Neodiprion lecontei: one gene and its partners. The protein of the gene in region 3 binds, or shares a complex with, the protein of the main gene of each other region. Links are inferred from orthologs where the notes say so. Each region holds a gene or a part of one and is shown on either strand. Other genes may lie near its edges.

The links.
Region 1: eukaryotic translation initiation factor 3 subunit C (region 3) and eukaryotic translation initiation factor 3 subunit B share a complex: the UniProt entries of both Caenorhabditis elegans proteins name them as parts of the eukaryotic translation initiation factor 3 (eIF-3) complex. The link is inferred for Neodiprion lecontei from reciprocal best matches to the Caenorhabditis elegans genes eif-3.C and eif-3.B.
Region 2: eukaryotic translation initiation factor 3 subunit C (region 3) and eukaryotic translation initiation factor 3 subunit I share a complex: the UniProt entries of both Caenorhabditis elegans proteins name them as parts of the eukaryotic translation initiation factor 3 (eIF-3) complex. The link is inferred for Neodiprion lecontei from reciprocal best matches to the Caenorhabditis elegans genes eif-3.C and eif-3.I.
Region 4: eukaryotic translation initiation factor 3 subunit C (region 3) and eukaryotic translation initiation factor 3 subunit G share a complex: the UniProt entries of both Caenorhabditis elegans proteins name them as parts of the eukaryotic translation initiation factor 3 (eIF-3) complex. The link is inferred for Neodiprion lecontei from reciprocal best matches to the Caenorhabditis elegans genes eif-3.C and eif-3.G.

What each region holds. Positions count from the first base shown.
Region 1 is NC_060266.1:1,378,430-1,387,877, reverse strand, and holds eukaryotic translation initiation factor 3 subunit B, read left to right. Parts: upstream 1-2,351; 5' UTR 2,352-2,410; coding exon 2,411-2,546; intron 2,547-2,985; coding exon 2,986-3,181; intron 3,182-3,330; coding exon 3,331-3,643; intron 3,644-3,725; coding exon 3,726-4,082; intron 4,083-4,235; coding exon 4,236-4,378; intron 4,379-4,507; coding exon 4,508-4,643; intron 4,644-4,742; coding exon 4,743-4,938; intron 4,939-5,138; coding exon 5,139-5,319; intron 5,320-5,598; coding exon 5,599-5,839; intron 5,840-5,977; coding exon 5,978-6,086; intron 6,087-6,191; coding exon 6,192-6,286; exon of another isoform or gene 6,287-6,481; intron 6,482-6,737; 3' UTR 6,738-7,419; downstream 7,420-9,448. UniProt on the Caenorhabditis elegans protein: RNA-binding component of the eukaryotic translation initiation factor 3 (eIF-3) complex, which is involved in protein synthesis of a specialized repertoire of mRNAs and, together with other initiation factors, stimulates binding of mRNA and methionyl-tRNAi to the 40S ribosome.
Region 2 is NC_060261.1:376,116-384,056, forward strand, and holds eukaryotic translation initiation factor 3 subunit I, read right to left. Parts: upstream 4,821-7,941; 5' UTR 4,426-4,820; coding exon 4,423-4,425; intron 4,147-4,422; coding exon 3,900-4,146; intron 3,432-3,899; coding exon 3,151-3,431; intron 3,066-3,150; coding exon 2,865-3,065; intron 1,672-2,864; coding exon 1,423-1,671; 3' UTR 1,372-1,422; downstream 1-1,371. Other genes in the region: poly [ADP-ribose] polymerase, read left to right, coding at 1-278, 5,679-5,885, 6,043-6,363, 7,087-7,318. UniProt on the Caenorhabditis elegans protein: Component of the eukaryotic translation initiation factor 3 (eIF-3) complex, which is involved in protein synthesis of a specialized repertoire of mRNAs and, together with other initiation factors, stimulates binding of mRNA and methionyl-tRNAi to the 40S ribosome.
Region 3 is NC_060261.1:25,907,630-25,914,441, reverse strand, and holds the start of eukaryotic translation initiation factor 3 subunit C, read left to right. Parts: upstream 1-2,656; 5' UTR 2,657-2,822; intron 2,823-3,022; exon of another isoform or gene 3,023-3,035; 5' UTR 3,036-3,048; coding exon 3,049-3,141; intron 3,142-3,279; coding exon 3,280-3,412; intron 3,413-3,487; coding exon 3,488-3,763; intron 3,764-3,891; coding exon 3,892-3,992; intron 3,993-5,689; coding exon 5,690-6,812. Other genes in the region: TBC1 domain family member whacked, read left to right, coding at 74-343, 1,316-1,432. UniProt on the Caenorhabditis elegans protein: Component of the eukaryotic translation initiation factor 3 (eIF-3) complex, which is involved in protein synthesis of a specialized repertoire of mRNAs and, together with other initiation factors, stimulates binding of mRNA and methionyl-tRNAi to the 40S ribosome.
Region 4 is NC_060263.1:36,423,542-36,430,434, forward strand, and holds eukaryotic translation initiation factor 3 subunit G, read right to left. Parts: upstream 3,604-6,893; 5' UTR 3,447-3,603; intron 2,741-3,446; 5' UTR 2,739-2,740; coding exon 2,291-2,738; intron 1,904-2,290; coding exon 1,488-1,903; 3' UTR 1,249-1,487; downstream 1-1,248. Other genes in the region: S-phase kinase-associated protein 2, read left to right, coding at 1-315; calcium homeostasis endoplasmic reticulum protein, read left to right, coding at 3,998-4,016, 4,938-5,108, 5,796-6,468, 6,604-6,675. UniProt on the Caenorhabditis elegans protein: RNA-binding component of the eukaryotic translation initiation factor 3 (eIF-3) complex, which is involved in protein synthesis of a specialized repertoire of mRNAs and, together with other initiation factors, stimulates binding of mRNA and methionyl-tRNAi to the 40S ribosome.

The DNA of each region.
Region 1 (9,448 bases), on a different chromosome or scaffold from region 3:
AATGCAATTTGTAATGTCTTTCTGCACGTATTAACAGGTCATACTGGAACTTAACTGGGCTGCTATTGCGTCACTATATCAACTTTTAGTTATTTTTTTGCCTATGAGATCGTTTTTAGTCATGTTCTTTTGGATTTTGTCACTTTTACTTTTTTACCCTTAGATTTTAGAAAACATTATCAGAGTTTAGAATTAATCTAACTGAACACTGGAACTGAAGAAACTCCTTTCCTAAGATTTTTTTTTATTGCCAGTTTTTGCTCTATTGTTGCGTATGCAAATAACAATTTCATAAGGTAAAAATGAAAATTTACAAAGATTAGAAAATAGAAGGCTTGCAATAGCGAATTTTCAAATTCGCAAAAATCTGTTTTCGAATGTAGACTATATTTTGAGTTATCTGCATTCTAGCCTTCTGAATTTTGAAATTCTGTAAGATAGATTTTCGCGGATTTGAAAATTTTTGATTACAGACTCAGACAAATAATGTAGTTCATAAAATTCTATTTATTTTATCGGAACTATCCTTTTCGATTTTTCTGTAAAGTTTCGATGCAGACACGTTTAATAGGTATACAATTATTTCACCCTTAAATAAATTTTTACAGATGTTTGGCGAAAACTTGGAAGATCGACCACTTGGACTTCCACTTTGACTCACTGGAAATTATGGATCATGTCCCGCAGAGGAGAGCATCCCAAATGAATATTGACTTTGTGACTGTACCCCCGTTTGTACCAGGCAACCAAATACTCCTTTTTTAACCCGCGACATATCCATGTCAACATTGTCCTCGAGTCCATGCCGTTCACTTACACTTGGTAACTCTGGACCATGGATGTATTTTGACACTTCTACAAGATGTTCCTGATTGTTATGATTGTTAGCCACGACTCTTCTCTTGGACATCGTTGATACACCTGGAATTACGAAAGTTTCACTGTCATTAACATCAGATATGCAGTTAATTGTTTCTGGTTCTTCTAAGTCCAAGTTTTATGTTCATGAGCCAAACATTTCCGTTGAACCGCAAACACGTTGAAAACTGTTTGGGGTTGAAAAGTATCGTTGTTTTCAGATTTATTAGTGGATCAGCAAACTAATCGCAAACAATGTATCGTTGATTGAAAGTTCTTTTCTGGGTATATCTACTTCGTCCAAGAATCCCGACATCGTCGCCTTTACGCTGGAACTCAATCGGCTGCCGCTCAACGAACGGAACTGAAGTAACAAACTAACCAATCTTTTTTTTTCGAACAACTCTACGAAATATTTAAGAATCTCCTTGGCGCTACTTTGTAATTGGCTGGGAATAATTCTGGAAAATTATTTCTCAAATGTTTACCGAGTAGATTCATATCTTCTACTCCCCGTCTGTATCAATACGAAATAAAAATTATTTCATTCTTATCACGACAATGATTCGATTTTCGGTACATAACTTGACAAGTTAAAAAAGTTGAGGCAATCAAAAGAAGAAACGATTCTTTCACGGTGTATATTTTACTGCGAATAGGTTTAAAAAACATGGGCAGACAGTGTAGAGAATATTTTGAACTGTGTAATAAATGTAGAAATATTTGTAAATGAAATTAGTTAGCTATTGTACGGAAATGTTTTCGGCAACTGTTGGAATGCGATACACTGAACAATTACGTTTTTTATGTATAGATAATATACTCTCACACTTGACACTTTTCACATCACCAATCACGTGCAGTCGCTAAAGTGATGTATTCAAAATTCCATAGTCCGAAGACACATTTTCCGATAATACAAGGTCCTCTAGTTTAACTTCTTCGTTAGAATGTGTTATATGTATTAAATTGTCGCATTTACAACTGTGAAATGATTTTCTGCCTTTTTTCACAATAATTCGACAGATCCGTTCCTATTTCTATCCTTATTTCAATTGACTATTCACACTATTCACAATGCTTGAAATCCATAAAAATTGAGTGTACAATTAAAACGTTTCCCCGTGCAATGAAAAATAAAGAAAACATACTACTTAATTGAATGAATTAAGGGTAAATTTTCCGGCGATGTAATAAATTCAATGAATTATTTCAAAGTAGAATTTTTTGTGACGAATGTACAGAAAGTCAAATAAACTCCGCTTTAGCATTGTAACTGATAAGACAGAAAATTATGTTAAATATCAACGTTGATGTGGATCACAAAATGTAATAGAAATTGCCTATCTACAGGCTGGTTGATTCTATTGGGTGGATAAAGCAGACGACTCGAAGGTGTTAGCAAAAGCATCGAGTTGAATCGCTTCATTCGATATATCGCATGTGCGCAGTTGAGTTGCGATAGATCGAATCAGTCAGACGGAAGCGTTGATATACGTCTTCTGCGGCCACTTTCAGACGCTTCAGTTTGCTTTAGTAAGAGGTTTCCAAGATGGCAAAGAAACGGGAGGCGGATAAAACGCCGCATAACGATGATCCAGGTAAAAACGACGATGAGAATATCAACGGGGATAACGAGCCAAACTTCAGCGATCCCGAGGGATTCGTCGACGATGTAACCGACGAAGGTATTTCTACTCTTACATTTCACATGCGCGTCACTCGTGTCATCCCTATCACCCCTCGGGGCTCGGTCACGGCATGGCATAGGTAGCATGGCGTGGCACGAAAGTTATCACATATGCACACCGTCTCCTAAATCTAACCATCCCGTCTCGGGATCTCGACAATCTTCCGTACAGTCTCAATAGCTTTTTCAATTTATTCGCCGGTTTTAGCATTTTAACCTCCGAACTTTGGCGTGATATTTTTCCTTTATACGTGACACGGTTCAACTCTGTACTTGAGCGTCAATTAACCTTCCAAATTTTGTATTGGCACCCATTCAAGATACCATTTTGCATTCATAACAGTCTCTGAATATTACTCGACACCAATCTCCGATTCGCCTTTTAATTCTAAATCGGGTCTGCTATATTTCTATTAATCTTTTATTCCTTTTCCTAGAACTACTTGGCGAGCTCATTAGGCAGAAACCGTCTGAGACCGATGGGGTTGAAGCTGTCATTGTCGTCGACGGTGTTCCGCAAGTTGGACCCGAGCGTTTAGAAAAACTCCAAATGGTGATCAGCAAGCTGTTTGAAAAGTTTGGAGACATTGTCAACCAGTGGTATCCCAAGAACGAAGATGGCTTGACCAAAGGGTAAAGATCATAAGACCATAAATTTTAATTCAACAATGCTAACCTAGCAGAAAAACAGAAACAACTTGTCACTTGTTTTGTAATTATTAGTACGAAGCTTCAATTTTTCACTACTTTGGTTGTTTTGTTAATTAACACTGGTATCACAGGTACATATTCTTGGAATACAAAAGTCCGGTGAACGCATTAGCTGCTGTCAAGTCGACAAACAATTACAAGCTCGACAAGATGCACACATTTAAGGTGAATTTGTTCACGGATTTCAAAAAGTTTGAGGATACACCGGATGAGTGGGAACCGCCAAAGCCCCAGCCGTATACATCGAGTGGTGACCTTCACTACTATCTCCTTGATCCTGATGCGTACGACCAATTCTGCGTTCTCTCTGGCAATGGAATGGCGGTTTGTGTTCAGATATGGCAAAATTCTGCACCTGAACCGACGCTGCTGGAAGACCGACCGGTAACAGTTTTTCACAGTTTGACTAGATTAATGTGCAAGTCGAAATAAACATGGTGTATTCCCCTTTTCTAAACCTTTTCAGCGATGGACAGATACATACGTCAAGTGGTCTCCATTGGGCACGTACATAGCTACTTTCCACAAGCCAGGAGTCGCGTTGTGGGGTGGTCCGAAGTTCGAGCAGACGGCAAAGTTTGGTCAACGCGGAGTTGAGTGCGTTGACTTTTCACCTTGCGAACGTTATCTTGTCTCATATTCACCCAGGGCTGAGAGCAGCGTTGATCAGAAGCGGCTTGTTGTCTGGGATATTCTCTCCGGTCAAGAAAAACGGGATTTTAATCCTGACGGGTCCTCGGTGTGGCCCATTTTCCGCTGGTCACACGACGACAAATATCTCGCTCGCATGGGCGAAGATGTACTCAGCATCTACGAAACTCCTGTAAGTTTTTTTTCTACTATTTTTTTTTTTTTTTTTTATCCTTTTGCATACCAATGTTAGATTTTTTTTCATCAGATGGTCAATTTTGTTTCGTGCGGATGTTCAACTATGGTCTATTCGCTTTTAAGCATTTGCATTTATTCGATTTTTTAGTCATTTCGACTACTCAACAAAAAGAGCATCAAGATACCAGGAATCAGAGACTTCAGCTGGTCGCCCACTGATAATGTTCTAGCCTACTGGGTGCCGGAAGATAAAGATGTCCCAGCCAGAGTCACACTTTTGGAAATTCCCAGGTACAGCACAGAGTTCATAGTCAGAATTGAAATGCTGCTTCCATTTGTTGGTTAACAACCAAAGAACTTATGTTTTGTTCCTATACCGATTCGCGGAGTTCATGAGTGTTTCTCTTTTTCCCGTTACAGCCGCAACGAAATTCGTAACAAAAATCTATTCAATGTCGCCGACTGTAAAATTCACTGGCAAAAATGTGGTGACTACCTCTGTGTCAAGGTGGATCGTTTTGCGAAGAGGAAAGAAAAAACTGAACAAAAATACACTGTAAGTATCGCAAGTAGTAAAAGCTCGTTCAACTCCTCCCAGTTGCCTAAATTATAGTATAGCATCGGTATTTAATTTCTCCATTTGATTTATTTTCAGGGAATGTCGTACAACTTTGAGATATTCCACATGCGAGAGAAGCAGATACCGGTTGATAGCGTTGAAATGAAGGAACCGATTCACGCATTCGCCTGGGAACCAGTGGGTAGCAAATTCGCTATCATTCACGGTGAAATACCCAGCGTAAACGTCAGCTTCTATGGAGTACGCCCTGGACTGCATCCTGATCTTCTCAGTAAGCTTTTCAATCCAGTTTCAATATTTCAGAAAAGTAATTATATCCAACTAAATAAGACGAAAAAGTGTGTTGTACATCTCTGAAGATATGTATATCAGTTCATAGAACAAACATGTGTTCTTCAGTCTTGTAATGACTTTTACTGATGTCTTAGAATTAAAAGGCAAAGTTTTTAATTTTTTCTAACTCTTGTTTAGAGAAACTCGAGAAGAAGGCGTGCAATCACCTGTTCTGGTCTCCTGCTGGCCAGTTCATTGTACTTGCTGGTCTTACCACCATGGCTGGTGCCTTGGAGTTTATTGATACCAACGATTTTACTATAATGAACACCACTGATCACTACCAGACCTCTGACGTTGAGTGGGATCCTACCGGACGGTATTTAGCTTCGTTTATTCTTTATCATTCTTTTTATTTATTCTCTCGTTATGTATTTAATGCGGGCTTCGTTTTCGTTACATGTTATTTAGTAGAATTCTTATTATTATTATTATTCGTATCACTGTTAAATCAAAGATCTTTTACTGATTGTGAAGTTTACTTCAATCTCTTTACTTTGGCAAAATTTAGTTTTAAAGTAAGCTTAGAAATGAAGCATAGAACTAAAAGGACGTGACTAAATGACCCCAATCAAAAATGAAATACGGCTGCTTTTAGATACGTTGTGACTGGAGTGTCGAGCTGGAAGACAAGCGTCGACAACGGATATTGGATTTGGTCGTTCCAAGGTCGTATTTTGAAGAGAGTTAATTTGACTGCGTTCAATCAGCTTCTATGGCGTCCAAGGCCAGCGACGCTTTTGACCGCCAAGCAAATCAAGGAAATTCAAAAAAATCTGAAGAAGTATTCGGCACAATTCGAAAGCAAAGATCGCATGAGACTAACTCGCGCCTCGAAGGTAATATTTTCCTATTCCGATACGGAATATTTGTGATCAAATAGTGACTTTACATTTATTCGTATAGTTCTTTTTTTCTATTGTGACATTTAAAAACTACCCATATCCTTGAAATGATTTCTACCTTTCTTTTTCCAGGAATTGATCGAAAAGCGTTGTACACTGATGAAAGAATTCGAAGAATATCGATCAAAACGTATCGAAGAATGGAACAGCCAAAAGAAGCGTCGCCTTGAACTACGCAACAGTATGTATTACCGTAGTCAAAAGTAAAGATGGAAAATAATTTATATTGATCTGCTAGTATTTTCCTATATTGAATGACGTATTAATTTCGTGTTTTTCCTTCTAGATATCGACACGGATGAGCTGGACTCAGATACGAAGAATGTTGAGGAGGAATCGATCGAGTTTTTCATCAAAGAAGAGACATTCGTCATCGACTAAGAAAGTATCCTAAGAATTGAAATAATTTGGTCTTGCCAGACTTGGAAACCTCTGTGTAAGACCGTTAAATTGTTGGATTTCATGGTGTATTGTACCTACTAACTCTGGAACGGAGGTGAACCACGCTGCAAGTGGCATCATTTCCATTATAAAGCATCATTGATGGTCTTTAACTATTATAGCAATTGCGTAGAATTTGTATTTTATTATTTCTGTATCATCGTGTCATTTTTCCTCGATGATTTTACACCACGTAAAGAACGCGGCAAACGTAGTACAATCAAATTCTATCACATACCTTATAGAATAGTCTGTAATACTTGTAACTGCTACAATGATTGTCACACTGTCCATTTTTTTTAAGTCACACAGACTATTTTTATTTATCTAATAATACCCTTTCGGAAAGCCATTTGAAATCGAACATTGTTTTATGAATACTTTTCTATAGAGTATCGTCGAAGACGAAGTAAGGGAATCATCACGACGAGGAATCTGTGACTGCGTCAAAACTGAAACCCCATTCCTTTCCTCACAGCTCACACTTGCGAATCAGCGGAATTGCCTTCGGAAGGTAGGTTTAGTTTATTTATTTATAGTAGGTTAATTATATTTAAAAAAGACTGGTTTTTGTGCAGATGCTCTTGCCGGCAGTTTGGTTGTTGAAAAAATACGCGTCATGCATTTAATCTGGGGTTTTTATATTTCATCAATTGTTGGTTTTCCACTGTGTATAGAATTCTGCAGATGATTTTTCAAAACAGAAATCATATATTTGTTCTTTTTCTTCTTGGCATAATATCCATTCTGTTCAAATTATTATCAACTTTACTATTATAACAAGCATCGGTTGCTATTATATGGAACGGGAATCTTCGAAAAGCAATAACATACAGAAAGAGTCATAAAGACGAAAATGTGTAAAGTTATGTTCTTACTATATATCTACATATATGCTAACGAATGTATTAATTATTATGCATAATGTATAGTTTGGAGGTACATAAGTTGAGAAAAAGGTCTTGATTTTAAAGTTTATGTATTATATATTATGTTATAGCTCAATGATCCTTAGATCTCTATGTATTATACAATCATAAGAATAATGATGAAAATAAAAAAGGAAAATAATAGCCTTCTAGTGTATTTGCTTAGTCCAAAGGGAAGCGCCTAATTATAGGCAACCAAACTTACATGTACGCGACACGGCCATCAGGCGTAAGGCGTGCCTTCGATCAGGCTCCTCGGCTCAGATGTTCTCCTAATACCAGGAGTAATTTTTCGCTGCTATTTCTCCGATCTAATTGAACCAAGTGGGAGCGCCTAATCATAGGCAACCAGAACGGTACGTATGTGACACGGGCTTTCAAGCATAAGGCGCGCCTTCGATCAAGCTCCTCGGCTCAGATGTTCTCCTGATACCAGGAGTAATTTTTGGCTGCAATTTCTCCGAGTTGCTTAGTCCAAGTGGTAGCGCCTAATCATTGGCAACCACGTTTATACGTATGCGACACGGGCTTTCAGGAATAAGGCGTGCCTTTGATCAAGCTCCTCGGCTGAGATGTTCTCCTAATACCAGGAGTAATTTTTCGCTGCAATTTCTCCGAGTTGCTTAGTCCAAGTGGTAGCGCCTAATCATAGGCAACCACGCTTATACGTATGCGACACGGGCTTTCAGGAATAAGGCGTGCCTTTGATCAAGCTCCTCGGCTCAGATGTTCTCCTAATACCAGGAGTAATTTTTCGCTGCAATTTCTCCGTGTTGCTCAGTTCAAGTGGAAGCGCCTAATCATAGGCAACCACGCTTATACGTATGCGACACGGGCTTTCAGGAATAAGGCGTGCCTTTGATCGAGCTCCTCGGCTCAGATGTTCTCCTAATACCAGGAGTGATTTTTCGCTGCAATTTCTCCGAGTTGCTTAGTCCAAGTGGAAATTAATTTTTATGCATAAGAAATGAGAGAGTATATTTTGAGCTAAAATTTATTTCATTTTTACTATACATATATTATATGTATAATAGGGTGTTTCAAAATAAAAAAATTTACGATTTTCCAACGAGCCACACCCGAAATAGTTTAGGTAGAAACAAAAATTCTGGCGAAAGATGAGCATTGTCGGTTGATTTTTAATCCTTTTTTCCTTTTTATCGAATTTATGATGGACAATTGTTAGTAATTTTTTTTCGTGTTAAACACTTCTTCATCTGAGCTATCCATAATGAGTAATCAAAAAGTAGTGGCAAATATGCATGATTATTTATTGTGTGCCCATGACGACTGAGACAAATCGTGGTCATCAGATAATTGATAAATATCTCTTTTTCGTAGAAACAGTATCGGCGGGTGGTCACGCGACTATAGTGGGCGCATCTCACGGTAACTGCGCCGCGGTCCGCCGCGGTGCAGTGGGTTTCAGCCTTAACTTTTGAAATGTCCTACCATTTCCGAACACCTGCAACCATCCTATTTACCTATATTACTAGATTAGCTATTATATGAAAAGAGAAGAATTATTCACTTCGAAATGGGATTCTATTCGACGCGCGCTCGATGTATTCCATAACATTAGTATTCCTAATTATTTCAACAACATTTCATTTGCTCTCTCGATCTTGAATTTTCGTAGGCATATAACCAAAACGCTGTTCTAGCTAGTCGAGAGTGAAGTATCTACGTTGGGTAGAGAAGCAAAATTGTTTTTCGAAAAGTATTCGGATGGAAAAAAATTCAGAGTAACTGTAATACATCACGGATGCGCTAATTTTGAACGAGATGAAATGGATGCTTCGTATATGAGATAGTATTTAACGCTGCGTAATGATTTAAAGACCTAAAAAGGTGATAGGAAGAGAAAGAACGAAGCTTCTTAACACTTCGAGTGTATTTTAACACACATTTGAAAGATACGAGCAAAATTTTTCATCATCCAACTGTCGCAGAACGGCAGCGTTATCGGCTGACCCGTTAAGTAAAGGATATATCTTCAGTCAACGGCTGACCATCGAAGGGCCTGGCCGCTTGAGTCTGGAATCGGCAGGACAGATAAGGTGTGTATTTCTTGTATGAAATGTGAACACTAGAATCATTATACATCATATCATATCATCATACATCATACATCATACATCGTACATCATACATCATACATCATACATCATAC
Region 2 (7,941 bases), about 26 Mb from region 3:
TGTGCGAGGTAGCTCTGGGCAATACCTATGAGCGACACGCAGCGGATTACGTTGAAAAATTACCAAAAGGTAAACATTCTACATTGGGTCTGGGTCAGACTCAACCAGACCCAGACGATTTTCACATTACAAGTGATGGAGTTCAGGTGCCATACGGAAAGCCAGTACCAGCTAAGCTTTCAAAGTCAACTTCTCTTTTGTACAACGAATATATTGTATATGATGTGGCCCAAGTTCAAGTACAATATTTGGTCAAAACTAATTTCCGGTACAAACTATAAGCTGAAATACTTTCAATGTTACTTGCCAGCTACCCTACCTCAAACAAGTAGTTTGATATTTGCATACCACACAGACCATTTGAGGTCGCCAAACTTCCAAATAAGGCCTACCGATTTGATAATGAATTATGCGTAATAATAAGTTGTATTGTGTTTGTCAAGTCTACTCGTTTTTGTTTTTTATACTTTGAGCATAGGTATAAACTGAGTAAATCAGTCCAATCCTGATGCAAATGTTTTTCTCACTGATTACGCTACCGAGTATCAGTCAAGTTTAGGCCCAAGCTTCAACCAAAAGACTGGGCTACAATAAATTAAATTTCAAATACATCTACGTATACATAGAAGTGCTATTATCATGGGACACTCAACCTTGAAAAATATTGCCAAGTTTTTAGTTTGCTATGATAAATAAGTGAAGGGAATCCATTGTCGGCATTCAAATCAGGAACGATATTGAAATGTTATTGAGAGCAAAATAAATTAGGACTTCAGACCAAACCAGTGATATGAAAATTCATATTTGATTCTTGCGCTATATTTTCTTCATCTTTTTATTTTTGGCATATAGTTATACTTGGTATATATGATGGTTTCTACTTCTCATAGGTATGTATCCTTATTTGAGAATAGTGATAAATTCCGAAGTTACCTTCTGTCCAATATTTTTTATACAATAATCATCAGCCATATTTTCTACGAGACGATTTTTACTTTCAATAATAAATCATACTAACATAGATATTAAAACCGTATTTTATGTTGCAATTGTTGCCAATTTCATTTTCCACTTTACCATTGTATCCTTATTCCTTGAAATTTCACATAGGTATACAGATATGTGACATGCAAAATTAACGAATTTTAATCTGTCAGTGTATCAGATGCAAGCAAACGAAAAAAAAAATTCATGCAATATGACAATTTGGTACGTACAGAAAAATTAAGCAACATATCTGACACCGATAACTTGATACAGGCATTTCCTTGGAAACGTCTCACATCCTCCTTCATGGTTTTTATCTTTCCGAAAAATGATTCGAAATATTGAGGAAACATTACGCGGAATAAATGAAGAGCACGTGCTGTGTAAAATTTTTAGATTCGATATATATTAGTACAATGGTAGTACAATTATTGATTAATATTCAAAATGAAAATCGAAGTAAGATTGGTCAAATGTATTGATACGAATATATCCATCTTCTCCGCCTGTAGAATAACTCCGTCCATTAGGATGAAAGGCTAAAGAATTGATAGGGCCAAAATGGCCTTTGAGTCGAGCGAATTCTTCCTCAAATACCAAATGGAAAAATCGTGAATCAAATTTTCCATGACGAGCCGATGTCGTGGTCACGTCCATGGCATCCTGGCCACCACCCAGTACCACCTGAAAATGGATATAGGTACGATCTGTTACATTCGCATTTTACACAACCACACTACGTACGGATGTAATTTTACATGTCTTGCCGACAATTTCACATAAAAAGAATCAGTCAGTCATTTTTCTACAAATTTGCATATTTACAGGGAGTTTGCTTTTTCTGCCAACTCACTAAATACGAATTGTTATAACTTGATCAAGTCATTTGTAATGGATGTTTAGTGAGTAGTATATAATAAAAAAATTAACCACGCCTCCTAAATTTGGATATTACGTGAACGATTTTTTTTTCAGTTTGTAACCAAAGAGTTGCATTTTGAGTAGAAAATTGTCCAAGCTGCATGGCATCAAATTTCCAATCGTTTAATTTTAATAAAAATTTTATTTCATTCCCAAAATCGCTGACAAGTCAAACGACAAATCAGGAGTATATTCAATTGAACGACATTTAAAATTTGAATCTTACACACTAGTGAAGTCGATTCTGAACCTCCTGGTTTAAGCGGGTCAGAAATAGGGTTGGCTCTGGCAGCTTCTAACTAATTGCTACGGTTCATCCAACAGATACCGCATGTTATTTAATAGGCGTAAGTTGGGCACTAGAGCTGCCAACCTTATATTTGAGCTGCTAAAATTAGAGGGATTCCAAATCGACTTCACTGGGTGTACATAATATGTACATTTTTGCATTTTTTTGTAATATAACATAGGAATACTGTGCATACCTTAGTCCACACATAGAAGTGTACTAAAAGGCAGAATGTTCTGTAGTCAGTGTCAAGTTTTAGTAGGGCCAAAAAAATAAGATCACCAGTTAGTGCTACTTAGACATAAGGTATGCAATTTCTAAGTAGCTACGATCGGGACAACACTTTGCTAAGTATGCTCGCAACTGAAGCAAAAGTACTGCATCGATACAGAAGGAATTGAGGTATTATCACAATCTCATTTGTAAGTGGCTTGCACCACCTTATTTAATGTCACCTATGTTGTCGACACACTTGTCAACAATCGTAAACTATTCCCCTAAAGTTAGCAGAAAAAAAGGGAGTGCTCCGACCTTCTCTCAAGTGTCAGAATGGTAATATCGTTACTTTTCGGGTATTATAAAAAATGTTTAATCTTGTACAATATTCAGGAAAGTATTAAAATGCTGCTGCACCTGCTCAAGACATTATATAAAATTGCGTACTCACATGATCCAAAATTGGGGATATTGTTGCGGAATTGACCGGTCTCTCGGTTTTATAAGTTTTCAAGCACACCAGAGATTCGCTATCAAACAATTTGGCCGTATGATCCTTACATGCTGTCACAAACATGGTCCCATCCTTATTGGTTTGCATATCGTTGATCTGATTCTTGTGACTTTTAATAGAATTAAGTTTTTTCCCAGTCTGTGAATATATTACAAATAAAGTAAACTGAGGAATTGTAATTTAATTCAAGATTAATATTTGTGTCATGTGAATCACAACTCACCCTCATATCCCAGAGATTAATCTCACCATCTTCATGCCCAGTGATGATGGTTTCATCAAGAGCACCCCAAAGAATAGCAGAGATTCGGGGGCCGTTGATAGGTATTCGTCGTATGGCATTCTCTTGTGATGATTTGGAAACGACGTCTCGTGCATCGATAATGAACATTTCACATTGGTATCCCAAAGCTTTATCGGTTGAATAGACAGCAAGATTCCCGGAATAACTAAAGCTACATGTCCTCACCGAACTATTTGTTTCCAATTGACCAACAACTTTTCCTGAATCGAGAAAAATACAGAGAATCGTTGTTGCGTGAAATTCAACCTATCTCAAAATAGCATAAGTTTACATGTTTTAGATTAATTAAACCAATTTGCTCGACTTCATGTTGCCGGAATTAGTAGGTAAAACTAAGTCAGACAAAGAAATTGGAAAAATTTCACATTCATGTCTCAAATCATTGTATCAATTCAACAGATTATAAAGGATATTTGATTATATATTATTGATTTGTTCATGATGCTCGCAGTTATCACCTGCTAGGTTCAGTAACATCTTAAATTTGCAAGTGTATTAGTTTTCCAACAGACAGAGATCGACAAAATTATCGCAGCTCCTCTAGGATAAAATTCAAATACTTTCACTGGTTAGAATACTACAAATCCAGCAATGACCAGTTTCACATCACCTTCATCATATAGATATGGTACGAGTCTGTTGGAATAGAACGATAAGAGGTAACTAACCAGTCTGACAATCCCATACACATAAAGTATTGTCACCACTTCCAGATAAGAATCTAGTAGTATCCCAATTAACGTCGATGCACCATACAGAACCATTATGACCGTTGAAAGTTCCAAGGCGTTCTCCATTGAGGGAGTACCAGACATTAGGCTTCTTGTCCTTACTTGCAGAGAACAAGAGGTCACCCTCCCTGTTGTACTTGATCTTGGTAATGGCACGTTCATGCCCATGAAGCATGAGAGGTTTCTAAAACACAATGCAATCACAAACAATGGAATCCGAAGATTCGAAAAGACACATTCAATATAACCACGTCTGATATGAAACACACATCATTTCACAAGAAGCCTCCTCTAACGTTGACCGAAGATATATAGGTACTTGAATCGATATCTTGCAGTGTCAACTTGAGGTTAGGCACGGGAAGGCAAATTTTCACACGTGTTTATGTGTGTGCACGCGTAGGGGAGGTATGATCTGGCATAATGATAGAACAGATTTATTTTAAGAACAGAAACTTACCATTTTATCTAAACTAATATCGCATCAGCGCTCCAAAATTGCCACAAAATCGACTAGTGCACCAGCTGAACGTCTCACACGCGCCCTGGCCGAACGGCAGAAAGAGATGAGTAGAGCCACAAACCGTCAACGAAATGACCCAGCATTGGCTAGATATTGTAGAAGATGGCCGACCTCATTGGGTAGATGGAAACTCTTTCGTTATAAAAGTCCTCATATTGCTCAACTATTCTTGATGAATGCTGAAACCGTCGCAAAACTTCGTGCAGCTTGTGCCCTTAATTCGAAGCTGTGAACAATCTAATACGTTGACTTTATGGAGGGTAGAGGTAAGGAGGCCTATGGGTGTATTCCGAAATATACCCGCAGTACTGCAAGTACTGGCAACTGCATTCTGAAATCGCGCGACAGCTTACTGCCGCCAGTCAGTGACGTCATGAAATTTGTGACGTTGTTGACTGCGACTACTGCGGCCTGGGCACGGTCTTACATACAGGTCTTGCAACGAAGCCAATTTTTTACAGAGCGGCGTGGTTCTCTTGTTGTCCGTGTTTTAAGTGTTCGAAATAACCATGTCGCGGCGCTGTTATCTAGGGATGTACGTGGGGTAGGGATGAAAATGTGCCATGGAAATTATATTTGAAATGAAGCATATAACCTAAAATCAGCGCGTGCGTCATACTGTAATGATACTCTTTGCCTCTAGTCTCCATACATATATCATTCATAATAATTATATCACACTAATATTTATATTAACTACTTTCATTCATAACAATTCATTACTTGTAATAACAACAATAATAATATAATTATTAGGTTGGCGCTGCATTGCGCACGCGTTGATTATCCATCCCTCGATCACAACGCCGGCCTGGCGACCGCAAAGTGAGATAAATCAGCGCCCGTGAAATGAGCCACCCCCACTACCTTCGTTGCAAGACCTGTATTTAAGACCGTGATTTCGGAATACACCCCAGATTGATATCCTTCAAATGGTTTGTCGTCTGCGGATTATTCGGGCTTCAGCATAGCCACAAATATGAGAATGTTTCTTAAAATAAAGTTTATCTTGAGATTTACGTAAGGAGTCGTATAAGCGGATTATCAATCACTTTCTCATTTGTGAAATATTAAAAGATTCGTCGCGCGTGATCAAGTGTCTGTTGTAGTTTTGTCCTTTATGTAACATAAATATATGTATGCCCGTGTTCGATTACAATCCGGGCCCTAACCTATTCTCATGCATTGCATAGCATACTCGTGGTCACAGTGATTGTAAAACTAAATTGGAGAATATGCAGCGCGTTATTAAATGTCCGAAACGATATTTACCTTCGGTGAATGACATTTTTAAGTTGGCGTCAACTGTTGCGGGAAAATACGAGTCGGTACTGAGTAGACCTAATTTCAGACTAGTCCTGAATCGCGCCCTTCGAATCTCACAATGCCTGTCGTTTCAGGTAAGAAAATCATATAATATGCCCGACTTGTATTTTCCTAGTCTCATATCGATAGTTATGAGAAATAAATAGATCAAATTCAGTATTCAGCAATTCTTTTAAGATGCAATATTTGAGGATGTGGGAGAACGATGAAATGACTGTAATTATTTTTTAGGGTCAAATGCGTATGCGAATGCATAAGGAGGTATGCGCCATTTATACCGTGTTACGACGCAGCGGATTCGATAGTGATTCAAAACTACGCTGCTTTTATAATGCCAGATGCTTCTGTACCACAGGTACGAACAATAGCAATAAGGCGGCGAGTGGCGGCCGTGCTGGAGAGCCCTCATCTCAAAGCTCAGGAGATAATCCGAATAAAAATGACAATGAAAAAGTTTCTGGTCTTGTTCCCAAGTATTTAATGTGGCTTACATTTTTCTGGCTGATTGTCAGCTTGGTGACCATGCTAACACCGAATAATAGTCAACGGGAGGTGAGTGTATATGCAGATCCCATGGTTCAATTCTTGCCGAAACTACAGGGTGGTCCTGGAGTACAGTCTTATAAACTACCAACGTATTTCTCGTAGCAATCTGCAACTGAAACGTCTATTGCATTTCTATAAAAAATTTTCTATACGCGAATTACAGCTGTTTGAAATTGACCAATCTGGAAGCTTTTAATGACCCAGAACGGGACTGGTGGATCGTTATTTCATCACTACGCTGCGTAGTATCCCGGTTTATCATCCCTGTGTGTGGTAATCAATTCTGATGCTACCAAGTTGGTTGATCGAATGGCTTTTATTCGAAACCGAAGAATTTCTTAGCATTGCAACCCAATTTTTAGTTATCGATTTTAACAAGGAATACATTGTTGCTTGGCAGCCTATGGGACAATAGTCACGAACGACCCTGTTTATACAATGACAAGGTTTGTAGCATTAATGTAACAATGCACTCTTATGACAAAAATATAAATTTACGATTTTACATTTGTCTGGAATTTCGTGAAGCATAGTAAAGGAAAAAATACATATTTTGAAAACTCATGTCCTTCAAAGTCAATCTGAAGTTGGAAAACAGCTATTTTGTTCAGAATGTTTTATTATGTTAATGTTACCAGTCTGAACCTTGTCATTATACGAGATATGTAATGTATATGAAAATGCTAAATATGTAAAACCTGAAGCACATAACTTGAATAACTTGTCTAGCAGATTGTGTACGTGTCCTGGAATGATTTTCTCCATCACATGCTCTCCAAAGGTGAAGTGAAAGAGTTGATACTTCGACCTCAAATAGACATGGTAATTATAATCTTACACCCAGACGCTGTAATTAAAGGCCGTAAGATTGGAAACGTTACACACCTAATGACGGTAGGCGACTTAGATCGTTTCGAAGAAAAATTGAGAGCTGCTGAAGACAAACTGAACATAAGACAAGGTACTGTCAAGAATGTGACACCTGATCTACAAACTCGAGTTTTCACATCCCCTTAGGAATTTACAACCAGTTTATCAAAAATGTGTACTTGTATTGCGACAGGTAGAGCATTGGTTACTTGATCGTTTAGGAAATATATTGTGTCAGGATCATAACAGGGTTTGACTGCTTGGAGACTAGATTGAATTGTTGTTTGTATCCAAATATGAATCGTGGTGATTAAATGCTGTAGCGATCAGTTGATGTTGAAACTATGAACAGTTTTTCTATTCGGTTCAGTCACACCCTAACATTACATAGAATATAAATTTGCACCTAAGAATATTGGGTTTGTTTCTTTCTGAGTGTATCAAAAGTCAAGCTTAATATTTTCAACTGATATTGAGAATTTTAAATTACCATTGCCAAAGCTGCCACCAAACTGAATAGACAATCTGTACATTTACCAACAAAATGGATGCAAAATTCTCTGAATTTTGCAGCAACATTTCGAATTTTGGAATAATTTTAAGTGCTAATTGAATCACTTTTTTTATTTCATACCATAACACTCGAAATGCTATGGGATTTGCTTATTAGGATTGTCGTACACTCTGATTCTTGAAAGATTCCTGCCGGTTTAT
Region 3 (6,812 bases):
TAATCCTGGTTTTTCCGTTTTTCTGGTTGTAAACTGCGAAATTCTCATGGATGCTTGTCGCTTGTTATTACAGAAGAAACAGAAGATGGAGCCAATTTTGTACATGACTGAATGGTTTCTATGCGTTTATACGCGAACATTACCCTGGGAGAGCATTTTGCGTGTTTGGGACATGTTTCTTTGCGAAGGAGTAAAGATTATCTTCAAAGTTGGACTAGTTTTGCTCAAGGGTTGTCTGGGCCGCTCGACTCTCACCAAACACTGTCCAACCATGTATGAAACTCTTCAACAATTGAGGAATCCTCCTCACCAGCTCATGGAGGAGGAGATGCTCGTGAATCAGGTAACATTTTGACACTATTCCGCAGATTATGTCATTAAAGGCATGGCCACTTGAGCACTATCGATTAAAATCTTTGTAGAGACTCAGTGCTTTTTTGTTACCAAAATTCCGACTTTGTCACTCTAGCCATTTTGACAAATTCAATGGCGATGTTAGGTTGAAAAAAGCTAGCACCGTCACAAATAAAAAATGAAGATAAAAATAAAATAAAAATGGTATATTTAATTACTAATTAGTTGCTTAACCTTTAGGCTGCAGCTTGGCCAGTATACAGATCCGTTTCAGCAATTACGCGATCAGTATTTACTTCTAGAATTAGTTACTCTGTAAAACTACTGCGTGATTTTGTTACTTGCGTGCATTTGGCCGAAAACCATTACTAGTGTGATAAAAATACGGAACGAAAGATATTTCGCGTAATTTTGTATGTTTATCATACTAGGGGTGGCTTTCGGCCAACGTCAGGTGAGTTACGAACTCATGCCATCGATTTTGACAAAGCAACTAATTCTAAAAGTAAATACCGATCGCGATATTGCTCACATAAAGAATATTGTGTAATTTCATATTTTCACTACACCAGGGGTAGTTATCCAAGCTGGGAGTTGATAATTTCACATGTATTTCTTCGTGAAATTCAAGCAACTAAATAGTAGCTAAACATACCATTTTTATTTTATTTTCATTTTCATTTTTTACTCATGTTAATGCCAATTTTTTTCAACCTAGTATCGCCATCCATTCTGCTAAAACGACTGATGCAAGAAAGTCAAAATTTTGGCAAGAAATTAGCAATAAAAGAGCACTACATCTCTACATAGATTTTAATCGATTGTCCTGAAGTGGCAGTGTCACCTTTAGAGACACTCACAAATAGGGTAATGAAATGAGTTTCTTACAAGTAAAAATTCATTCGGAATGGAAAGAACACTTATTGTTAGTATATGATATCCATATTTCACTCCAATACAGATTCATAGACTGAAATTGAGTGAAGAAGACTTTGAATATGAGCACCAGAGGCAAGTGGTTCGTAGAAAATCGAAAGACCAAGCACCTCCGCAGCCTACGATGAACGGAACTGACTGATTGAAAAAAGAAAGCATGAAAATGGAATCAACAGCTATCAAGAAAAGCTCTTGAACATATTCCCTGAAATACGATGTGCCTTTTCCACAAGTATATCATATAGGTATGCATGTATATGTAATGCACAGAGTATGAAGTCTGTTCATCATAGTTAATTGAAATATTAATTCATATTATTATTATTATGTTATTAATTATTATTATGTTATTAATTATTATAATCTATGTTGAAGAATGAAAACACGGTGTTTTATGCACATTCCCGCAGTAGATAAATTACATACTTAGTACCTTTGTTCTATTCACATTGTTATTACGATTGTTGATAATACAAAACAAGCACAATATTTTTGTTATAGCTATATCATATTATTTAATATAAAAACAAAGTATTTTATTGTGCTGTATCATCATTATATTATTATTATTATTAAACTATATGCTCCATTGTCAATATTTATGTACAAAAAAATGCGAAACAAAACTTGTATACCGTACTGTATTTTTAAATGAATCGTATCTTATACGAATATATCACAATAAAAAAATTCGACTTATTAGTAACGAGTGAATAATCAATGCAACATTTTAGGACCCGAGATACTGAGTCGAAAATTCTTTGAGAATAAATTCACTCATGTCATCATCTCTACATATGTCGCGAGCACACTTTAGGTATGTATGTACTTGGTTGCAGAGACTTCACCATCGTCGAGTCGGTGTACAGTATTTACATAGTTTTTAGTAATCCTTATTCTATGTATTTCATACATGTAAATGTAACAATGTATGTTGGCGAAAGACCCACTGGGAAAAACCCAGTGGAAAAACCGCGTAACAATCGCCATTGCAACAGCTTGTTAAAAAATCCGCTAGGTGGTGTACACTGTCTGACAATTTGACATGATCCGAAATTTCAATGACGTATCCGCGTCTATGTATATCTATTTTATTACAGGTTACAATTGTCGACGCCAAGCTTATTTCGTTGCAATCACGGTCTTACATACAGGTCTGGCAACGAAGGTAGTGGGGGTGGTTGATTTCACGGCCGGTTATTTATCTCACTTTGTGGCCGCCAGGTCGGCGTTGTGATCGAGAGATGGATAATCAACGCGTGCGCAATGCATCGCCATCCTAATAATAATATTATTATTGGCACATTTTCATCCGTACCATCCCTACCCCACGTACATCCCGAGATAGCAGCGCTGCGACATGGCTATTTCAAACACTAAAAATCACGGACAAAAAGAGAACCACGCCGCTGCACGCCGCTCTGTAGAAAATTGAGCTTCGTTGCCAGACCTGTATGTAAGATCGTGGTTGCGATCGGCCTCTTTACATTGAACGGCTACCCGTAAGGGGATTTCTTTGCAGGCGATCACAGGTAAATTGATTAACGAGTTATTACGGTCTGTATAATAAAGAAAAGACTTCCTCTGTAGGATGATCAAATTTCTCCTAAATATTACGGCCCCCAATTGTGACTAGGACTTAAAATCAGGCCAAAGCAGTCTATTTTACTGTGCCATGTGTTTGACAACTCATTTGTAAGCCGTGCAAATCAGCAGTGATACATTTGTACAGTTTAATTTCACAGATTCAGTCTAATCATGAGCCGATTTTTCGCCACCGGATCGGACTCCGAGTCTGACAGCTCGTCTGAGGAGGAACAGATTCAGAGGCCCACAGGGGCAGTTTATACGGTATTTTTCAACCTTGCCTTAATCTAACCTTAAATCACGTTGAAGTTCGCTACCGTTATGTGACACAAACAGACTTCGATTGTCTGGTTTTGGTTATCACGCATTTCACCTTTGTAAACGAATAAATTTTCTTTACAGTTCAGTGATGATGAGGAAGAAACAAAGCGTGTTGTGCGCTCAACAAAAGAGAAGCGTTATGAGGAAATCACAAATCTGATTAAACTGATTAGAAATTACAAAAAAATCAAGGATATGAGCAGCATGCTCACAAGTAAGTATTAGTATTACGCGACCTTATGGTTCGGGATTGTATGGAATAAATTAACGCTGGTGTTGTGGGTTCTAGGTTTCGAACAGTTGACGCGAGCTTATGCAAAGGCACTGCCAGTTATTGCCAAGGAGGAAAATGGCCAGACGCCACATTTTTACTTACGATGTTTAGTCGAGTTGGAGAATTTTATTACTGATGTTTGGGAAGATCGTAAGAATATGTCTAAAAATAATTCCAAATCACTCACCTCTTTACGCCAGAAGATACGGAAATATATCAAGGACTTTGAGGAGGATATTACCAAGTTCAAAGAGAATCCTGACCAGGAAGATGAAGATGAGGAAGAAAAAGGTGCAGTTTCGATTATCAGAGTTGAATATTACAGTGTTAACGCAGAGAAATATGTAGATATAATTTAGTTACCTCAACTAAAGCAAGTTAATGTTACATATTATTAATTATTTAACATGATCACATAGCTGAAGAGGCTGAGGAGTCGGATGGAGAAGAAGATCGTGCCAACGCCTTCAAGAAAGCTAGTTCAGCAGAAGCAAATGCTCCTGATGTTTCGAAATTCAAGGTTTGAACGTGGTTACATTATTGTATTAATTGAGCTCGTTAGTTGGCCAAAATTGATACTTTTTATCAATTTTGTTATGAATTAGTCGTTCATTTAGCATTTATCAAATTTTCATTATATTTGTAGGGTTTGATCGTGGTCACGTTACCGCATTAATTAAGACCGTTGGTTGGTCGAAAATCAATACGTTACAATAATTTTATTATGAAATAGTCGTTCATTGAGTCTATCAAATCATTATATTTGTAAGCTACGAAGATTTCTTTAAAAATGGAATATACTTCAATTATGAACAAAAGCATAAGTATCCATGCTTTCTAAAAGGCATTGAAATGTTTAAAAATCTCGTAGATTCGTTTGATTTCATTCTAGAACCAATAATTTCATTTAGAAAACTATTGTCTGCAAAGTTACTGAAGTACTTTTTTTTTTTTGTTATCATGCTGGCATCATTAAATATTTAGTTACATAATATTGCACTAGTAGTATTCATCATCAACTAATGGCAATATTGAATTAACTAGTTAAAAAAAATTATCTGGCTTAGTAACAGTGTAGAAAATAATCTTCTGATTAAAATGTAACAATGTATTGTGAAATCGAAAAATTTACTAGAGTTCTACTTATTTAGAAGTAATTTGAAATAAAACAGCCATATCTAATCTTATGTTTAGAATTCCAGTATTTTCTATTCTGGCGTTTTGAAAGAGATCTTTGGAATATAACAATTTGATTAATACGCAATGTACGACGATCTTTAAGGGACATTACAGTGTGATCCTCCGAAATATCACTGATTTTCGCGATTTTTTTTTATGGTTAGGATAAACTAATCGGTTTGATTTTTTTTTGCACATCAAGGCAGTGATGAAGAATATAAAATGATTTTTTGTAAGTTGATTTATTTATTGTTTAATATTGTTTTAAATTATTGAAAAGTCCGATTCAAAAAAAAGGTCCTGCATGGTGTCCAGGATTGCGGTCTTAATCCTGATCTGAAACAAAAATTGCAAAAAGATTATTAATCTGTATGAAAGCCGCTATCGTGCTATGGACGCTTTTTTTTTTTTTAATTTGACAAAATGGCGGCGGTTTGAACAAAACGTATCGAATTCAGTTTTTTTTTTACGGTTTTTCGTAAAAAAAAATTGAAAGATTTAAAAAAAAAAAAACTTCCATAGCACGATAGAGAATGACGTAAAGAATGTTCTGTCAAAATTGCAAATGGATAGCTTGAAAACTCTTCCTTTGAGAGTGGACACCATTCCGAGAAAAACGCGTTTAAAGATTGAAGTTAGAAAATTGTAGATATATCGTTTAATTACGATCAATCGGCGATACCAGGTCCATACAATATTCCTTCTGCTTCCTTAAATTGTTCATTTCCTGCAGGAACGTACACGCGCAGGTAGGAACAAGACAAAAGGAATAACAGTTGAATGGGGAGACAAACGCAGCAGATGTCATATTCCCTTTCTCTAAGAAATGCTGTAGTGACTGAAATAATTCGAATTTCGTTAAAAAATTTGAGAGAATGTTTATAATAGTGTATACTATCCGATAGTGCAAAAAAAAAAAGATTTTTTGAAAATTTCACACTGATGATCCCTTAAATAAAATTGAAAAAAGGGTCGATTTTTTGCCTCACAACTACTTCAATGTCTTTTATTGTTTTCATGACTTTTTTCCGTTTGTAGAAAGGTCCAACGATCGACGGTGAGGAAGCCAGCGACAGCGACGAAGATTGGGGAAGTGATTCTGACAGTGATAGCACATCAAGCGATGACGATGGCCAGTACACAAACATTCGCGAAAGATTCATAAAGAAAACAACAGACAAAGATGATGACGAAGATAAGGCAAAGAAGAAAGAACAACGCAAAGAGCGCAAAGACAAGGAGAGAAAGAAGAGACGTGATGAAGACGACGGCGAGGGTGAATGGGAGACTGTTAAAGGAGGTGTGGCAATACCGTCAGAAAAGCCTAAAATGTTCGCCAAGGATGCTGAGATAAATGTGCAGGCCGTGTTGAAGAAACTAACTGAGGTGATAGCTGCACGCGGTAAAAAGCGAACAGACAGAAGAGAGCAGATCGAACTACTTCATGAGCTGCAGTCGATTGCTGAAACTCATAATCTCGGGCCAGCCGTCGCCGTCAAGATAAAGTTTTCTATAATCTCTTCAATATTTGATTATAACCCAAAAGTTTCCGATGCGATGAAACCTGAATACTGGTCAAAGCTTCTTGAGCGCATATCGGAGATGTTAGACATGCTTCTGAGCACTCCAGATATGGTAATCGCAGAAACAGTCTCTGAAGACTCAGAGGAATACGAAACACCGCCGTACAAGCTGCATGGTTGCGTGCTGACTCTGGTCGAGAGATTAGACGAGGAGTTCACCAAGCTGCTTAAAGAGTGCGATCCGCACAGCAACGAATACGTCGAGCGACTGAAGGACGAAAAACGCGTATCAACGATTATAGACAAGGTGCAGGAGTATCTGGAGAGGCAGAGCGTAGTATCAGAATTGTGTCGGATTTACCTTCGCAAGATCGAACATCTTTACTACAAGTTTGATCCGACTGTGCTGAAACAGAAGGATGGCGAAATTGCTTCCAATGTCGTAACGTCGGTCCAAGTTATGGAAAAATTGTGCAAATTTGTCTATGCAAAAGATGGTACAGATCGTTTGCGGACCAGAGCTATTCTTTCGCATATTTACCATCATGCGCTTCATGACAATTGGTTCCAAGCTCGAGATCTGATACTGATGTCCCATTTGCAAGAAACCATTCAGCATTCAGATCCGGCTACGCAAA
Region 4 (6,893 bases), on a different chromosome or scaffold from region 3:
ATCATCGAACTCGATATGAGTGATTGTACAATGCTTACAATCAATGCCACCCAAAGTCTATTAAGCCTCACAAAGTTAGAACACTTAGCCCTAAGTCGCTGCTACAGTATTCCTCCTACCACTTATTTAAGACTAGCTCACATGCCCTGCCTAATGTACCTGGACGTCTTTGGATTAATGGCCGAACCTACTTTAGATACACTGCAAGCAAGTTGCGGAAATACTGAAATAAACAAGTTCCTATACAGTTCAGTCGCCAGACCGACAGTTGGTGTTAGGCGAACGAGTATTTGGGGTCTTAGAGTTAGAGATTAGGAAGCTAGAAGAATTGAAAAAAATCTCATTTAGTGATTTACGAAAAACCAGAGAATTCGACTAGTAGTAGGTATAGTTGATTACAAATCGCGTTTTGTCGCAGTAACTGAGAATAAATCGGACTTAATCTCTCGTAAATACGAGTAAACGATTTCTTGAAAACTGAAGTAATAATAATAAAGTAAAAAGTTCATTAAGGTATGTATTTCGAAAGTAGTGCCAGAAAGCGGTAATAGAATTGATTTTCATTTTTGTAAATAAATTCTCATACAAGACGATTAACACAATAACATAATAATAATAATAATAATAATAATAATAATGACAATAATGTTGTTAATGATCAGTCAATTATCTGCCAAATGTGCTTACTTGTTGAATATCAATTTTTTTTTTGTATAAAATCGCGAAATTCAGCACTGTAAAAAACCTGTAATACTTTGAAAGGTAATGATTATTTTTATAAATGATATTAGGAGAATTTTTCTTTCTTATTTTTATGTCACACAGTCCACACATTGTAATCTGCATAACGTGAATTAATGAATTTTACAATGCTTCTCCCGACATGAGTGATGTGAAGCGAGTTTGATTTCTTGTGATTTTTTTTTTTGGAAACCCATGATACTAGATGTAAGAATGTATGTATACTATTTTTAAGATGGATAGAAAGGAAAGTCCTTTGATACTAAAGATAATTCGGTATTTTCCTTTCTTGCATCAATATAGTACCGAATTTTCCTGGAAATCCGGGCTTACTGGATGATTATATTATTGACGACTATGTGAATTAATTATTATTATGTATATTCTATAAAAATGAATCATTATGGTTAATCTGAGTTCAATTCTCTTTTGCTTAGTTTTCAGCAATACCCAACTCACTTTAAAGTTATTTTGTTGCAAGTGTGTAACTATCAATAATCAGAGGAGTTATATTTTGGACAATTTATTAAAGAATCAAAGATACAACTGCAGAGATTGCAAAACAATACCTTGGTTACTGAAACGTGGAATCCGTTCATTCAATTTATATATATATATATAAACATTGAAATATTTGATTATAATTTATTACACAAGATACATATCAATAGGGTCTTAACGAATGATCAATTATTGCGTCAGAAGGATTTAATCTTGTAAAACGGAGTCACATGCGCAATTGACATCTAATTACTTTGTGTGGGGGGTTTGGACCAGTCCACATTTAAAATAAGGTGATCGTAACCATGTCCATGTAATTGAACAATAGCTTTAGCAGCATCAGCTCGGAATTTATAATGAACATAAGCAAATCCTTTACACGAATTAGTTAGCTTTTCCTTAGCAAGGTACAGTTTTTGAATTGGTCCAAAAGGCTTAACAAGCTCTTCCAAATCGGCGTCGGAAGTGCTTTCAGAGAGGTTGGAAATTCGGATCGCTGTTGTATCGTCACGCTTCGTCATCTGCATCGAATCTCCACGTCTATTACCGCCATCTCGCATATTGGGTGGTACGTATCTACTACCCTGAGGTTTATTTAGATCAGACATTGCTCCAGGTGCTCCTGGCACTCCAGCTGGTTTCTTATCATCTGGAACTTTACCTGGAGTAAAACATTTCAAGATTATCAGTAAATTAGAAAGATGGACTGAGAAAAGCTTAATTCTCTTTTGGTACCGAACACAATTACTGGTTGAAGGTAAAAATATTTTAACAATTGAATGGTCGGTTCATCTGAGGAATAATAAAATGTTCAAACTTTAAGGACGCAGTTCTAACATTTGGAAAAATGTTTCCTTTGAGACAAAAACTTCCTGTTACAGTATAAAATCTCTCAGTATTTCGTCTTACTTTTTCGAAATTTTACTAATACCTATAAATCTATTCTAATCGCAGAACTTGTATAGCGAGGGCTCCTGAATATTATAAAGTTTTTGGATGAGTGAATGCAAGAACTTCAAATAATGGGTAAATATCAGTATCAAGTTACCTCCAGCGAGTATAGTGTCTTTGTAAGGACACTTTGAAGTCCAGTGATCACCATTGCAGTTACGACACTTGACGACACCCTTGTCCCCGATACTCTTCAATTTGTCAAGTGAGTCTTCTTCGACCTTGTTCTCTTCTTCCTTATTTGAAATGAACTGCATGAAGACATCTTCTGCTCCGACAGTTGTGGCTGGATTTGGTCCAGGTCTGTCGTCCGAGGAGTCTCCAAACTTTGCCCAGTTTTTCCGCACGGCTATAGTCTTTGATACTATACGACGTTCCACCTTATATGTACGGACAACTTTTACTTTCTTATCGTCTTCGTTGTATTTGTATTCTGTAAGGATTTTGAATCCATTTTCATAGACCTCTGTCGGTGGTGGCAGTGCTCCTCCTTCTTCCTCAACTTCATCTGCCCAACTGGATTTAACTTCTTCTGTTACCGGCATGTCTGCAAGTTTGAAAAACACCTCTAATCTAGTAGATGGGTAAACAATAGTGTTGGGCCAAGTATATCAATCCTAACGTTTTTTCTACCTTTTACTAGTTGTTTCTCTTTAACGTTTCACATGTCTTTTAATTGTAACTTATCAAACTTTTCAGCCTCTAGAAGAATTCCAATTCAAGCGGAAGACTTTCGATTTTAAATTACTATCAATTTCCCTGTACAGGAACCTTCGATTGTTAAGAAACATTTGTTTACACCTGATTGATTAAGGAAGTGTAGATAGCGAACGGAATAATAGCGAGCAATTTACAAAGTAAACGATCTTCATAAATTTATAAATGTATATTTAGGATTTCAAAGAATGGTGGAGATCCAGAATATCTCTGCGTTTGAAAGGATAGTACGACTCAGGATGGAGCATTGAACTATTTGAGGTTAGGGTATCGCAACGTCTCGAGTATTGATACCCATCATTCCAATCAATTCATGAAAGTAGCGTCGATTAAATTTAGAAACGCGACACAATGATTTGGCAACTGGAAGACTCTTTAACCTGGTAAAATGATCGTAACATTGTAGAAGATACTGAAAATTGCATTTGAGTAGATCAACCTCACGTGTCATAAATTTTGGAATCTCAGCCGGCGTTGAGCACCTTAATGAAAAATGATATGGAATAGCAGATATTACTATTATATTACAAACTTACCTGTTCTCCGTGAGTAACGGTATCGGTGTAACGAAACGTAATACTTGGAAGATTTTAAAAGAACTTGACAACGCTTCGTCGTACATATGTCCGTCGGATAGACGATCAGCCAAAATGGAAGAAATGCCAGTGGCGTTGGGGGCGATCGCTGCTCCCTCTGTGCGTTACATCGAAAACTTTAGCGACGAATGTAGATGAATGGCTATAAGTTGTCTGTGGATCACGGTGAATGCAGCCAGCATCATGTCGAAATCGTATCTCTCTGATGTTCTGCAATAAGTTCTCAACTCTACCGTTGGAACATCTCAGAGGGCGCAAGCGCACGACGATTTTCGGTTGTCACACCAAAGTCCACTAGGGGGACTGTCTTTACATTCTTGAGTCACCGGCGAGGGAGACGAAGTGAAAAAAATGGCGATGTCTAGCGTTGTCGCTGTATCGTGAGCATAATGGTTTTCGGCACAACATTACAGTTGAAAATACGATAGAGTTTCATTATTAAGTGTGAATTATTCGTTACACGACGAGTCTCGAGTACCCACGAAGAAGAAATGGATCAGGCTCCTGCAGGTAGAGAAAAAAAATCACAATCCCAAGAATCAACGAAGCGCGGTATTATTTCCACACTACGTATCACGTATCAATTAATTTTTCGGCTTAATTTTTCGCCCATCAATACAATATTACTCTCCACCTTTACAACTTGACGAGTAAATACAAATCACTGCAGATTTCTCTCACCCTGTGCTACACAAACATATCGTTGTGTACAGGAATTGTATTAGGTTATGTGGCTCCTCTCACGTCCACCTTAAAATTGCCGAAATCGGCACCCCGATGAGAATTTGGAATTTTGATTTATTACTAAGTATGACTATCTACGAATCTTTTACAACACTCGGCGAAATATCGGTGATTATTTTTGTTTTCCACGTTCACATTCATTGTCCGTTCGCTGCTTTCTCTCCTACAATCACCCTTCAAGATATACAATCTGTTAATCAAACCTTAGGTATGGTTATGATTTTAACAGGGTAAATATTTGTATTCCATATTCATTTCACAACACGTAATCGACATCTAAATTGCGATCAAACAAGTCTGGAGAATCTTTTAAGTTATATCATAAACGATTTGTCTCAAGAGAAATATCTGATACTCTTCAATACCGCAATAACATTATATTGATATCCTTATCTTGATATCATATCTTGTTCTGCGATGGTTACATATTGTTTCCATTTATATTTTAAAGTTAATAAATAACAGGATAGCTATCTAAATGTTGGATTATTTTTTATATCAGAACTGTAACTAGGATATTGTACTTATATGTCATAATGATTTCTTGAATATTTTAGAAAATAATCTGTCTAGAAAATAATACCGGGTAAGATGATGATCCTTTTTTTCCATGAAATATGATGTAAGCTTACATTGTTGTTGGATGCCGATTGTTCTAACAAAGTTCTGTTTTAAATGATTTAATAGACACGGACTTGCGCAACATCATAGACAAGCTGGCTCAATTTGTCGCACGTAACGGACCAGAGTTTGAGCAGATGACGAAAAACAAGCAAAAGGATAACCCGAAGTTTGGTTTCCTGTTTGGCGGAGAGCACTTTAACTACTATCAATACAAAGTGACAACGGAGCAAGCCAGTAAGTGGGAACAAATCCCCTTAACAACGTACAAAAAAAGGTCTTCGTTCAATGAGCTAGAAGCAAACCCAAAAAAAAAAAAAACAAAAAAACGACTATGAGAAAACGTATGAAATCGTCAAATGAACAAAACATCACCACCGTGCAATGAGATGAAAAATGTCATTTGTGCAAATCAGGACATCGTTCAAGATTTTGGGAATCGTTATTTATTATAAGACTTGAAAAAAACTAGAAATGTGAAAGGGGCTTTCTTAAAATACAAATAAGAACAAGATGTAGCTTTAGGATTGTTATCTGATCCAAGATTAGATCGGCAAGGATACAAATGTTTAAAATACCAACTACTTTTATGTTTATGAAGAGTACTACACACTGCCGCAGTAAAATCTGTTTTACATACATGCTCCTGTACTCAACTGTTTGGTGTAGCACGATGAAAGAAAGAAAACAACACATTCTGTGTTCAGTGGCGCTTTAAATTTAACAGTAGACTTAATGCATTCTTACATGATGCCAGAAAAATTAATATGTGCCATTCGAAGATATTCATCCAAAAAACAACCGAATTAAAAATGACAAAAAAATAACAAAAAAAAAGTAAAAAACATGGACCATTAGTTTATTTTTTCAATATCATGAAGAAATGAAAACAAATTGCAATAATCCACCGTCATTCGTTTACAGTTTTAAAGCAAAAAGGAATAAATCCAATGCAAAATGCCGACCCACGTTTAAACGTTTCGCAGCAGCAGCAAACAGCCGCGGCCGTCGCTTCGCCACAAAATAACGTCAGTCTTGCCTCGAGCCTGAGCGCTCAAAACAACGGTTTAAGCCAAGTGGTCGGGAACCCAGGGCCCGTTATACCAGGGATAACTGGGGTACCCGGAGTATCCGGAGTTCCAGGACCAATCGGAGGGCCTGGAAATGTGGGACCACCTGTTGGGGCCATTCCTGGACCAATAAGGAACGTGAATTCGCCGATCGGAGGAGTTAATTCTGGTGTCAATATTGCCGGTCCTTCAGGTTGGTTGCGAAATGAACTTGCGCAGCTTCAGTCACAGCAAGCTACACTCCGAGAACAAGTTAGGCAATCTGAGCAAAACCTCGCTGCCCAACACGCCGCTTTAATGGCTCAACAACAAGGGAGAGTCGAGGAGGCTGTCAGACAAGCTCAAGAAGCATCGCTGCAAAATAATGCTCAGCATACAAACACTGACCTTTCTGCATTTGATTCTGTACTACAACCCATTATCGAGAGCTGCACTAAGGACAGCATCAGTGCCGGAAAGGCTTGGATACTACAGAATTCTATCACAGCACAAAGCAATCAAGTTATCGCTGAGCATTTGCTGAAAAAGTATGTATATCTGTTCATCACCATTTCTCGATGTGTTTAAAGTTATCAAAATTTCACATCAAAGCTTAGCCGGCAACAAAACCATATTAATTTTTTTTTTAATCGAATTATAGTAATTTCTGTAATAAATTTTAGAGTAATTCAAGGAGCAGCTTTCAGCCAGAAGTTACACGTGATTTACTTAGTAAACGATGTTCTTCATCATTGGTAAGCACACAAGTGTATTTCACAAAGAGGATTATTATTTCAAAAGTTTATTTCGACTCAGTGCTTACCTGAAGGTAGGATAAGCAGACTGGTCAAATGAATGCAAACTGGAAATGCATATAACTGGTTTATAAAAGATATTCTAGAATTGGTTCTGTACCTTTTTATCCAACACATACAATATAATCATGTATACATTATTGTAAATCTTAAAACAA